3 linked regions of the Oryzias latipes genome follow. The protein of the gene in region 2 interacts with the protein of the main gene of each other region in a pairwise test. Links are inferred from orthologs where the notes say so. Each region holds a gene or a part of one and is shown on either strand. Other genes may lie near its edges.

Evidence for each region.
Region 1: the proteins of RNA-binding protein with multiple splicing (region 2) and fam168a interact in binary tests that used the Homo sapiens proteins (3 or more experiments, as listed by UniProt). The two-hybrid records come from large-scale screens. The link is inferred for Oryzias latipes from reciprocal best matches to the Homo sapiens genes RBPMS and FAM168A.
Region 3: the proteins of RNA-binding protein with multiple splicing (region 2) and serf2 interact in a two-hybrid assay, tested with the Homo sapiens proteins (2 studies listed by BioGRID and IntAct). The two-hybrid records come from large-scale screens. The link is inferred for Oryzias latipes from reciprocal best matches to the Homo sapiens genes RBPMS and SERF2.

What each region holds. Positions count from the first base shown.
Region 1 is NC_019871.2:20,751,016-20,754,773, reverse strand, and holds the start of fam168a (protein FAM168A), read left to right. Parts: upstream 1-1,059; 5' UTR 1,060-1,185; intron 1,186-1,770; exon of another isoform or gene 1,771-2,565; intron 2,566-3,758.
Region 2 is NC_019876.2:8,063,231-8,066,988, forward strand, and holds the start of RNA-binding protein with multiple splicing, read left to right. Parts: upstream 1-1,286; 5' UTR 1,287-1,645; coding exon 1,646-1,708; intron 1,709-3,758.
Region 3 is NC_019861.2:26,947,579-26,950,508, reverse strand, and holds serf2 (small EDRK-rich factor 2), read left to right. Parts: upstream 1-795; 5' UTR 796-927; coding exon 928-934; intron 935-1,617; coding exon 1,618-1,726; intron 1,727-1,872; coding exon 1,873-1,945; 3' UTR 1,946-2,301; downstream 2,302-2,930. UniProt on the Homo sapiens protein: Positive regulator of amyloid protein aggregation and proteotoxicity. Induces conformational changes in amyloid proteins, such as HTT, driving them into compact formations preceding the formation of aggregates.

The sequences.
Region 1 (3,758 bases), on a different chromosome or scaffold from region 2:
CAATTAACACAGACTCACCAAAACTGGACAATAGAAGATTGGAAAAACCTTGTCTGGTCTGATGAATCTCCATCTCTGCTTCAACATTTGGATGGTAGGGTCAGAATTTGGCATCAAAAACATGAAATCATGGAGCCATCCAGTCTTATATCAAGAGTTTAGGCTGGTGCTGGTGGTGCACTGGTGTGGGGGCACACTTTGGGTCCCTTAGTACCAATTGAGGATCTTTTCAACTTCACAGTGTACCTGTGTATTGTCGCTGACCATGTCCGTCCCTTTATGACCACAGTTTCTACTTTTGGTACTTCCAGTAGGATAATGCACCATGTCATAAAGCTGGAATCATCTCAGACTGGTTTCTTGAACATGACTATGAGTTCACTGGACTCAAATGACCTCCACAGTCACCAGATCTCAACCCAATAGATCACCTTTGGGAGGTGGTGGCACGGGAGATTGGCATCATGGATGTGCAGCCAACAAACCCGAGGCAACTGCGTGATGTTATCATGTTAATACGGACAAAACTCTCTGAGGAATGTTTCCAGCACCTTGTTGAATACATACCACCAAGGATTAAGCCAGTTCTGAAGAAAATGTGATTGTTTGAAATCAACAAATTACAATTCGTGAGCAACCTGGTTTATGACCACATGGCGGCGCTGTCTTGCTGTGTAGAAAACGTACATGAAGACAGAAAGATAGACTACGTCCAGATTTTCTTTGTACAGAAAAAAAAACAATGCAAACAATATTATAATATAATTTGCCAAAAGCAGTTGCATGTATGTTGCCGCTTCATATAGTATGTATTACTAATTATTTACAATAATAAAGTATTAACCTAAGATTTTTTCCCCCCATAATGTTGTCTTTATTATTAAAACAAAACAAAAAATGTGACTTCGCAAATTCCCATTCTCCTCGTGGTTTGGAGCGCATTGATCCGCTGATCGGACCCCCTCCGCCGTTCATAATCGGTGCCTCGTCCCCCCCGCCGTTCTGCTTGCATCCCAGCATCCCTCCCTCCTTCCCTCTCGGCGGTGCATCCCCATCCCCCACACGTCGGCCGTCTCTCCGGTTGAAAGCTGTTTCCAAGCGTCACTGGCCGAGCAGAAAGAACCAGTCCTCACCGACCGAGCGCACCGCAGCACGCCGAGAAGTCTTTGTTTTCGAGTGGTTTCGGTGAGTCCCGTTTTGCTGGCTGTCGTGGAGGGCAGAAATGTCCATAGGTCGACTTTTTATATCTGCGTTCTTTGACTTCTTCCCCCTCCCTTTCCCTTCAATTGTCCTCCGTGGTGACTAGTGGGAATCTAGCGGGCTAAGCTAAAAATGCTAACGATAATAGCGGACACTAAATGGACACACTAAATGCACCGGATGTGCGTTAATGCTTATAGGTTTCGAATCTAAATATTTAAACATGTTTACATTATTTAAGCCATGTTATTGTTGTTAGTTTTTTTCCTGCAATTGTCCGGTAATTTATCGGCTAGCCTGCTATTAGCGACGTGAGCAGCGTGCACCGATGGATGCGGGGATGCAGCGGCCGGTTAGCGGCTGTCTTTTTCGGGCTAGCTTGAAAGCTAACGTTTCGATAAGAGTTCAACCGTTTCCAGCGCTTTTGTTTCCCAATGATTCGACCTCACGCGTGTTGATTGATCGTCTCGTGTTAACTGGCAGCTTCTGGAGGTTGTTGCACAAAAAATCTGGGGATTTTCAAAATGGTGTCTTTGGCTTGTATTGACTGTGTGACCATTTTTGTCCAACCTTTGCTGTTTTGGCGTTGCTCGCTATCTGTGGTGAGCAGCGCAGCCCCGACCGATGCGTGCCGCGGGCTGATAGAAGAAATACATCCGAACCACCAAGGTTCTGAGAAATGTACAGGAGGCTGCAGGATAATAATATATCAAGATAAAAAGAATGTTTTGTTGTCAAACAATTTTAAAATCATTATTTATTTTCCTAAAACCTGTTATGCTTTAAAATATACATTTCCATCCTACAGAAAACAATAGAGTAAATGCATAATCAACATGGGTTTACCTTTATAAATTTGTTACAACTTTTATTTAGTAGGAAAGTCCCAGTTAGATTTGTGTTGGGCACCAGTTTGTTTGATTCATTTGATTTTGAGTATCTCCCTAAAATGAGTCCCAATCTGATATGTTTGTAACGCATCAAATAAATGAACATTTTAATAAACTAATCGAGGTTCTCCTCTATTTTTATTTTATTAACTTTCTTTTACATTTTGACACCGATCATTTGTTTATTGGTTCAAAAACGTTCTTAGAAGTCCCTTAATTACAATCATGCCATTTTTAGCCAAAGTAAAAAAAACTTTAGGCTGTGTCCGAATTCCCTCCCTAATCCCTAACTACTAAAAACTATATAGTAAACTATGTAGTGCCCTTTTAAAAGTAATTCAGACACCACGCTCAATACTTTTTTTGCTAACAGCGAATATGACAACCGATTTCACAAAGTGAAAATCTAATTGATAGGAGTGTTCTACAACAACTGTTTATGAATCCACTGTGTTCTGATGATGAAAATGTTGAATTTTTATTTGAAAACAGATTTAAATACATTTTATCTTGCAAAAATTGTTCAGACGCAATGCATAATGGTCTATATTTGCCAATCTAGTAAGCATTGATGCACACTGCATCAATGACTTCTGGGAAATTTCTAGGCCACTCGATTTTGGATTTGTAGATTTGGACAGCCTCACAAAATGGTGAACGCACTATAAAGTGCACTATATATTTATAATTAGTCCTTGTAAGAATGTTTGGTTACTGTATCTTTAGTGTCTTTAGAACTATTGATCGTTTTTTTTAAACATATATGATTTGATTTGTTCCATTAAAAATTTCCAAAAATTAAAAACAATGACTTTCCTCCAAAATTGTTGTTTCAGCATGAATATGATGAGTATTCATGACTAGTTCATATCAATGTAACCATTTATTTGTTTTGATTCTTTTTAATCACTTTTCCTGGAGCTTTCACTTTGTAGACGGTCCCTTGGCAGCGGTTTCTTTGCTAGAGTAGATATTAAAGAGGGAAAAAAATTGATTGAAATGCCTTTGTAGGTCATTGCTTGGCTTAAGACAAACTGATAGAGACACCTTTTGTTAGTTTAAAGCGCTTAAGAGAGTTATTCAGCCCGTAAGCCTGAATCTGTGAATATATTGCTAACTTTACCAAAATGTTTTTGTTCTTCACTCCTATTCAAACTAGAGTCGTGATCCGTTCATGATATACAGACTTCTACTAGGGCATTTTTTGAAATAATAAGCTTGGGATGTATAGTGTGTTAATTGGGCCCAATTTTTTGATCATGTGACCTGATCAGGACATCCCTAGTTTTTATCACTTCGGTTCGTGTTTTGACACATCCGTCTTAAACTTGAAATAGTATTTTGTAACTCCTCCTATAAAATAAGCATATTTCCTAATTGAAACATGTGCTATCCCGGCTCAAAATCATGTATATTTGTTTTAAACATGTAAAGCAAAGGTATAGATTTAGAATTTAGCCTGTTGTGGTCTTCATCTGTCCTGTCATCTAAGCTGGTGTGTGGCATTGTTGAGTTTTAGCTGGCTGTATAATGGAGCTATTAAACTGTCAAACCTTTAAAAGCTAGAATCACTTAGTGTTACATCAGGAGCTCACAAATAGACCTTTGTGTTGTCAACACTTTTTTTTCCTGTGATTGGAGCTGCTTAAGGATTTGCTGCTTAGGGAC
Region 2 (3,758 bases):
ATGTCAGATTTAGCTGATTCCCATTGGTTTGGTAAACGATCATAGAGTTAGGCCAAATCCAGATTCTTCCCCTACCCCTACATTTAGTCCCCCAGACGGAGAGTTATAGAAACATAATGCCTTCAAATTCGGACGTTACTCCCATTCAATAACATCATGAACAGTCGCTGGTCAGCTACGTTAGCACGGAGCAGCTGGTGCTCGGAAATACCTAACAACATGTAAAACGTCAGGCTAAAGGAAAAAGTCATTACTTAGGGCTCGACATCCCTCCGCAGCCATGGGTTAGCCATTAAAAAACTATTTCGGACAACCCTATCCCTCCAAAAGCCCCTACAATTGGAAGGGTAGGGAGAAGCCGTAGGGGTAGGGGAAGAATTGGGATTCGCCCTTATCAAAGGGCGTGTGTTGTTCAGCTGTTGCCAGCGAAATCTCCGATGTTAAAGGGTTGAAAGACCCATCCGCTCATCTTTTGAGCTCTTTTTAAAGCGTTTCCAGTGGTCTTTTAATTATGATTGTACCGTTTTCCAAAACCAAAAAACCTGTGTTGGTTTCTTGGTCATAGTTTCTGCAAAGCGGCAGTAGTTCATTAGAAATTCCCCTCTGACATGTGGGCGGGACTGCTGGCATGGAGCAACCCCGCTCCCCCTTACCCTCCCCGTTGTTGAGAGCTCTCTGTTTACACTCTCTCCCACTACCTTACAAGCCCCTCACACCCCCAACCTGACATTAGCAGTGCAAGAAAAATGGCAAGCAGTGTTACAGCTATACAACCATACCAAGACGTACATGGATTTAGTCGTCTACAAGGGATGCGTCAGAACGGAGCCGCCCACCCAGCGTATTTCTGACATCACAAATACGATCTTCATCTCCTGATTCACAACGATTTGAATTTTTAAAATTCTCAAAAATGTATAGCATAATACTGATTATCTGAAAATAATAATCGAACAAGATAACCAGGACGACAAGCTTTACACGGTTGACACAATTATTCTAAAATTGAAAATTTCTTTATTGATAATGTAGAAATATTTCATACATTTCTTTGGAGCAACAACAACAAAAAAAAGAAACTCAACCTATTGTCCCTGATAAAATAAATAAGCCAGCACATTGAAAGACTATCTCAGGAATGTTGCCGGGACTAAAATAACACGCAGCTGGTCCTAAAGTTGACTGATACTGATTTTCCACTGAAGCTCTCCCTCCACGAGGCTACTTGATAAATCTTGATCGGGCTGCGGCGCATCCCACTCCTTACCCCACCCTAAACCCCTCCCTCGCGCGCGCGGAGATGGGGAGAGAAGTTTGCCTGCGGCTCGGTCCAGCGAGCATTGACTGTTGAGGAGACAGGGGCTTCTGGTTTCCAGGGAATGCTGAGGAATACCCGCCCGCAGGCTCACCTCACCCCGCTTTGAGTGGTAAAGACACGAGGCAGGCAGGAAGAAGGAAGGAACGGGGGGTGGCATTTAGTGGGATTCATGTGGCAAAACTAAAAGTGAAGGAAGCTCGGGTCAGTGGGACAGCGGGCGCGCGCGCGGACTGCCTGTCCTGTCGAATCCAACGAAGGAGCCGAGGAGGAGAGACCGAGACCAGAAGACGACCGTCCCGAGCGAGAGCGACACGAGTGCGGCTCAGGATGAACAACAACAAAACCGAGAAGGAGAACGAGACGACTGAATTCACCAACCACGAAGAGGAGGTACGCGGTTCCACCTTAAATCAGACGCCAGAACTACTTGTTAGGCGGTGTAGCCGCTTTAGCCTTCCCGGCCACCCGCGTTCTACCTGTTAAGGTGAACCCGAGTCAATTAGAGTCGAGTTTATCCTACTAAAAGTTGTCACATCCAGATGTTTGACCTTAACATCCTTATGGTTTCATTAAAGTTAGATGTCAGTCATTCCCTTATATTTTCTTTTTTTTTTTTAACCTTTTTTTTATTTTTTTTTTATTTCTCTTTTGTTATTGGGCTGAAACATAACGTTTTTCAATCAATAAATGTACGTTTATACCCATTTTCCCTCTATAAAGTGGATTTTTTTTTTCATGAAAAACAGCTTTTTTTTTAGTTATAATGTAAAATTTTATAAACGAAAGTTTCGTCCTGGTTCAGTTTTAACTGCAATTTGGGTGAAAACAGGTTTTTGTGACCAAAGAAAATTGGTTTATGGGTGAAAATGTTAAAAAAAATGCATTTCATTTTGAGATCGGCCCCTTCTTTAATGCAATAATTGCTTTACTCATTAAAACATGACTGTTTCTTAATTTGAAGGCAGGTTGTGGGCTACAGTTTACTGAAAAGCCATGCAGTCAGGGAGACTTAGTTCTCACTGAAGATGAGCAAGGCATTGAAGTTCAAACAACTAATGCTGCAACATGTAGGCAATGACTCTATGTAATCCTACCTCACAGTCAAACAACAGGAGCCTCGTCCCGCATCTGGATCTAAACACAACACACTAACGTGTATTTGTCAGAAGATAAACGCTCGGTTTCTTGACCTTGGTTCGAGTCCATCCGCGTCTTTTTGGTTCGGTTTTGGAACCGATTTGCACGAGCTCTTTGTTGTTTCAGAACCCGCCTCTGCACCCGAGGGAAGGGAGGAAGGTAGATCAGATTATTTCTCTTGGAGTAATTTGATTAAAACTCAGCAGAATGTTACTCACTGACTGATAATAACCCAACACACTCGAACTGATGTAAGACTGTGTTTTGTTGGTTACTGTGGAGTCTGTGTACCCCCATAGAGTTAACGAAACCCTGAAAAAAATGCATTTTTATGTGGTAGAGCTCAGGTTTTTTTTCTTCTTTCTGGACAAATAGTAATAAAGATTACTTTTTATCAATGGGACAAAGATACGCTTGTGTGTTTTTAGGTAATAAACTACTTAATGAATCAATACCTGGCTTTTGTCAATAAGATAACCTCCCAATACCTAAAAACAAGAGGTGTCCTGAGCTTCTGTTGGAAAATATTGAGTCATCTGTCCCAAAGTGTTCCAAGTTTGTTTTTTCTCTTACTTATGTAGCTTTTCTCAGGTTAGATTTCACCTTTTGAACCTATTCATTAGTGTTTTTGTGACAGAGGTCTCTGTACCCTCAAGAGTTCCCGAAACCCTTTAAAAAAAAGTGTATTTTTATTTAGAAGAGCTCTGGGTTGTTCTTTTTTTTTTACTGGACAAATAGTAATAAAGATCACTTTTTATCAATGGGGCAAAAAAGGTTTGTGTGTTTTTGGTTAACAAACGACTTAAGCAATCGATAGTTAGTTTTGGCCCATCCGATAACCTCTGGATTGCTAAAACAAAGGGGGTCTAGAGCTTCTGTTGGAATAGAGAAAACTGTACTTGAATGATTTATCCTAAAGGGGCCCAGGTTTCATGTTTTCCCTCTTTCAAATGGAGGTTTTCTCAGGTTAGATTTCCTCTTTTGAACCTATGCTAAATCGGCAGTGTTTTTGTGACGTTGGACATCAAAGAGACCCAACAGTCCTGACGCGAGTAGAAAAATGATTCTCTCGACCTGCGTCCGGCTGGAAAAGTAGTACTCAAGCGGACTCACCGGACGTGAGTTGTCTCGAGTTGCTTTTTTTTTTTTTTCGTAAGAGAGACGGGGAGAGTAATGGCCAGAGGAATCTAATGTGGAAGCATTTTGGACGCCATCCAGACGAGCGAGGACTTAAATTCACTTGAATGGATTAGCGTAAGGTTAGACAGCCCCCACTTTATCTTGGGTGTAATGATGTGTGTTG
Region 3 (2,930 bases), on a different chromosome or scaffold from region 2:
AATGTTTACAAAAAAATGGCAACATTTATTTTTTTAAGTGCTCTTGTTTAGTTTAACCTGCTTACCAAATCTTTTGAGGGGTGGATATTTTTCAATTGTCAATTCTGCAAAATACTATTGTTAAAAAAATGTTTCATGCATAAAAACCCAAGTAATGCAATAAAGTTGTACTTTATTGCATTACTTGTGGTTGATTCACATTTTCTAGGGCTGGCATCACAAATAGACAGACATGGATTATCTATCTTAAGACCTATTTTCCTTTTTGGTGTCTAATTATATGTTACTGATGTATATGTTCCTATTACCACAGCTAGTTTTCTGCACCTCAGTGTCCAAATATCTTATGATACACACTTCTTCACCTAAATTAATTGGCACACTTTCACTTGATTACAATGGAATGCTATAAAATATTTTTTTTATATTTTATCATATTATAAAATAGACACTTACCCTAAAAAGTAAAAAGTCTTGAACAAACTTGTTTATTTAGTTTAATAATTAAATTGACCTTATTTTCTAACATTTTACTGTCAACCCCTCCTATCTAAAATTATGTTACTTTGGTTAAGCATAAGTGCTAGACTTCCAGAATTCCTGTTTCAGAATCATTGCATCGTATTTAATACATTTATTTGACCATCTTTATGCTGAATTATCATTTCTGGACTCTACACTTGTGACTGCAAGTAAAAAGAAAAACCTCTTGACGTTGACGCATGCGCATGATCACTTGATCATAACAGAATGTTCTGGTTCGTAAGCGGAAGTACCGTCTTTAGCGGCCACAAGGGGTCGCAACTCTCAACCACAGCAGAAGACCACAGCAGACACAGCGACTGGGGCGTCGAGAAGGGAGCCAGCGGCCCTTTGGCTGAGCGTATCTGGATTTAAGGCAAAAGAGGTGTCGTTAGTGGAAAAAAAATGACCAGTAGGTAGCGATATGTATATCTGCTTTAACATGCTGTATATATTCCCGACTGCGTGTGGTCTTTATTTGTAGCTCCTAAACAAAGCCAGTCTAGCTTCTGTGTCAGTAAATAGACGGAACCATCTAACGTTTTCGACAATGTTTGTGAAATAACAGTAGCACAATAACGATATCTACCACCTTTTGGTTCCCAGTTTATTGTCTCAGATTCCGGTACGTGTCGACTTGATGTGTTACGTAATCGGGTTTCATGTCGATATTAGTTTTCCGGGTGTTAGACGAAGCCGTGGCCTATAGCTAACGCATACTTCGGATTTTAAAAACGTCAGTAATCGCTCGTCATTTTTATTTTAAAAACAACAACAACAAAAGCTTAACAATACATTTTAGTATGTTGTATTATTTTTTATATATATGGTTTAGCTCGATGGTTGTAGTGGAAGATGATTTGCCACGTCGACTCCTACTACTACTGGCGTTTCATCTTGTCTCTATTGCTGCCTTTAGCGTTGGCTCCGTGTAAAACGCGTTAAAACACCAGAAAACACACACCCCTTTGGCTACTCTTATTTTTAGTCTGGAGAAGATTTTTTGTTTGTTTTTTTAGGCGTGTGAGGGGTGTGTCTCTATTAATGTGTTATTGTTTACCTTTGTTCTGCTTGTCTGGTGTCCCTGTGGTGCAGGAGGTAACCAACGTGAGCTTGCACGCCAGAAGCACGCAAAAAAACAAGGAGAAATGACGAAAGGGAAGAGGAACGATGATGGACTGTCTGCTGCTGCTCGGAAACAGAGGTAAACTCTTTATTTCATTGCATTCTTGCATAAGTTGTTATTTTGGCACAGGGGGTATCATTATGAATCCAATCAAGGCTGCAAAAAGTGAAATGTTTCTTTTGTCTGAAAAATGTTTTGTCTTGATTTCATCTCTTCTTCTTCAGGGATGCAGAAATAATGCAACAGAAGCAAAAAAAGGCCAATGAAGGGGGGAAGGAAGGTCCCAAGTCCAAGTGAAATATGAAGAGAAATATTCCTCTTGCTGTTTTGGGAACTTCAAAAGTTCAGCGTTCTTCCTGATAGTTAAGAGAATGGACCCGTCATTTTCATCCAGACTCAAGAATCCTGGATCCTACATTCTTCCCAATGGCAAATGACATTTGCTTGTTGGATTTGTTATTTTATATAATTAAAAGTAAGTCTCAGAGAGTTGGTGCTTATCCTACATTGGTGCTGCATGCAAATGGGCAGAAGAGGTTTAAAGAAAGACAAAGCTGAACAATTCTTGACTCGAAACATCCACTTGACAGTTGTGTATTTTTGTACAAAAGTGTCCCCTGATGGTCTCCAATAAAGTATGTGTTTTTAGTTGATGTTTTTGTGAGTTATTTTGCATAAAATCACATCTATAGTATTTTCCGCTACAGATGTGAATATAATCCAACACCATACTTAAGTCCCTTTTACAATGCCACATTGAAATGGAGGTGTTTATTTTTTTTCTTTAGTCTAAACTGCTAAAAAAGGAAAATGGGTTACATGCGTTGAAGTACATTATTTTTTTAAACAGGTAGCTGATATTGACCAAATAATTAAAATGTTCATTTTTATACAATTTTGTTTTATAAGTTACATTTTTTCATTTTGTCTATGTAATTATTCCAACCACCACTAGATGGAGACAGCCCCCTAAAATAGTTTGTGTTGTGCAATTCTCGTTTTTCTTTCAGAACTTTGTTTTTTACAATGTGGAAACGTGTTTTTTTTTCTGCAGTTTTACAAATTTGGTGCAATACTATGGGAAGACTCTTGTACAGCTTTACATCTCAAGCTACAATAACTTTTGCAAACAACTTCAGCAATTTATCCAACCGTCATTTCTGCCTATAGTTCAATTCAAGTTAACACCTTCAAACATATTTCCGCAGGAAGTGCAATTTGTGTGGGTTTTTTTCTCATTTTTTTTAGGTTTCTAACCCTAGATGTCGAGATCATGCATGTT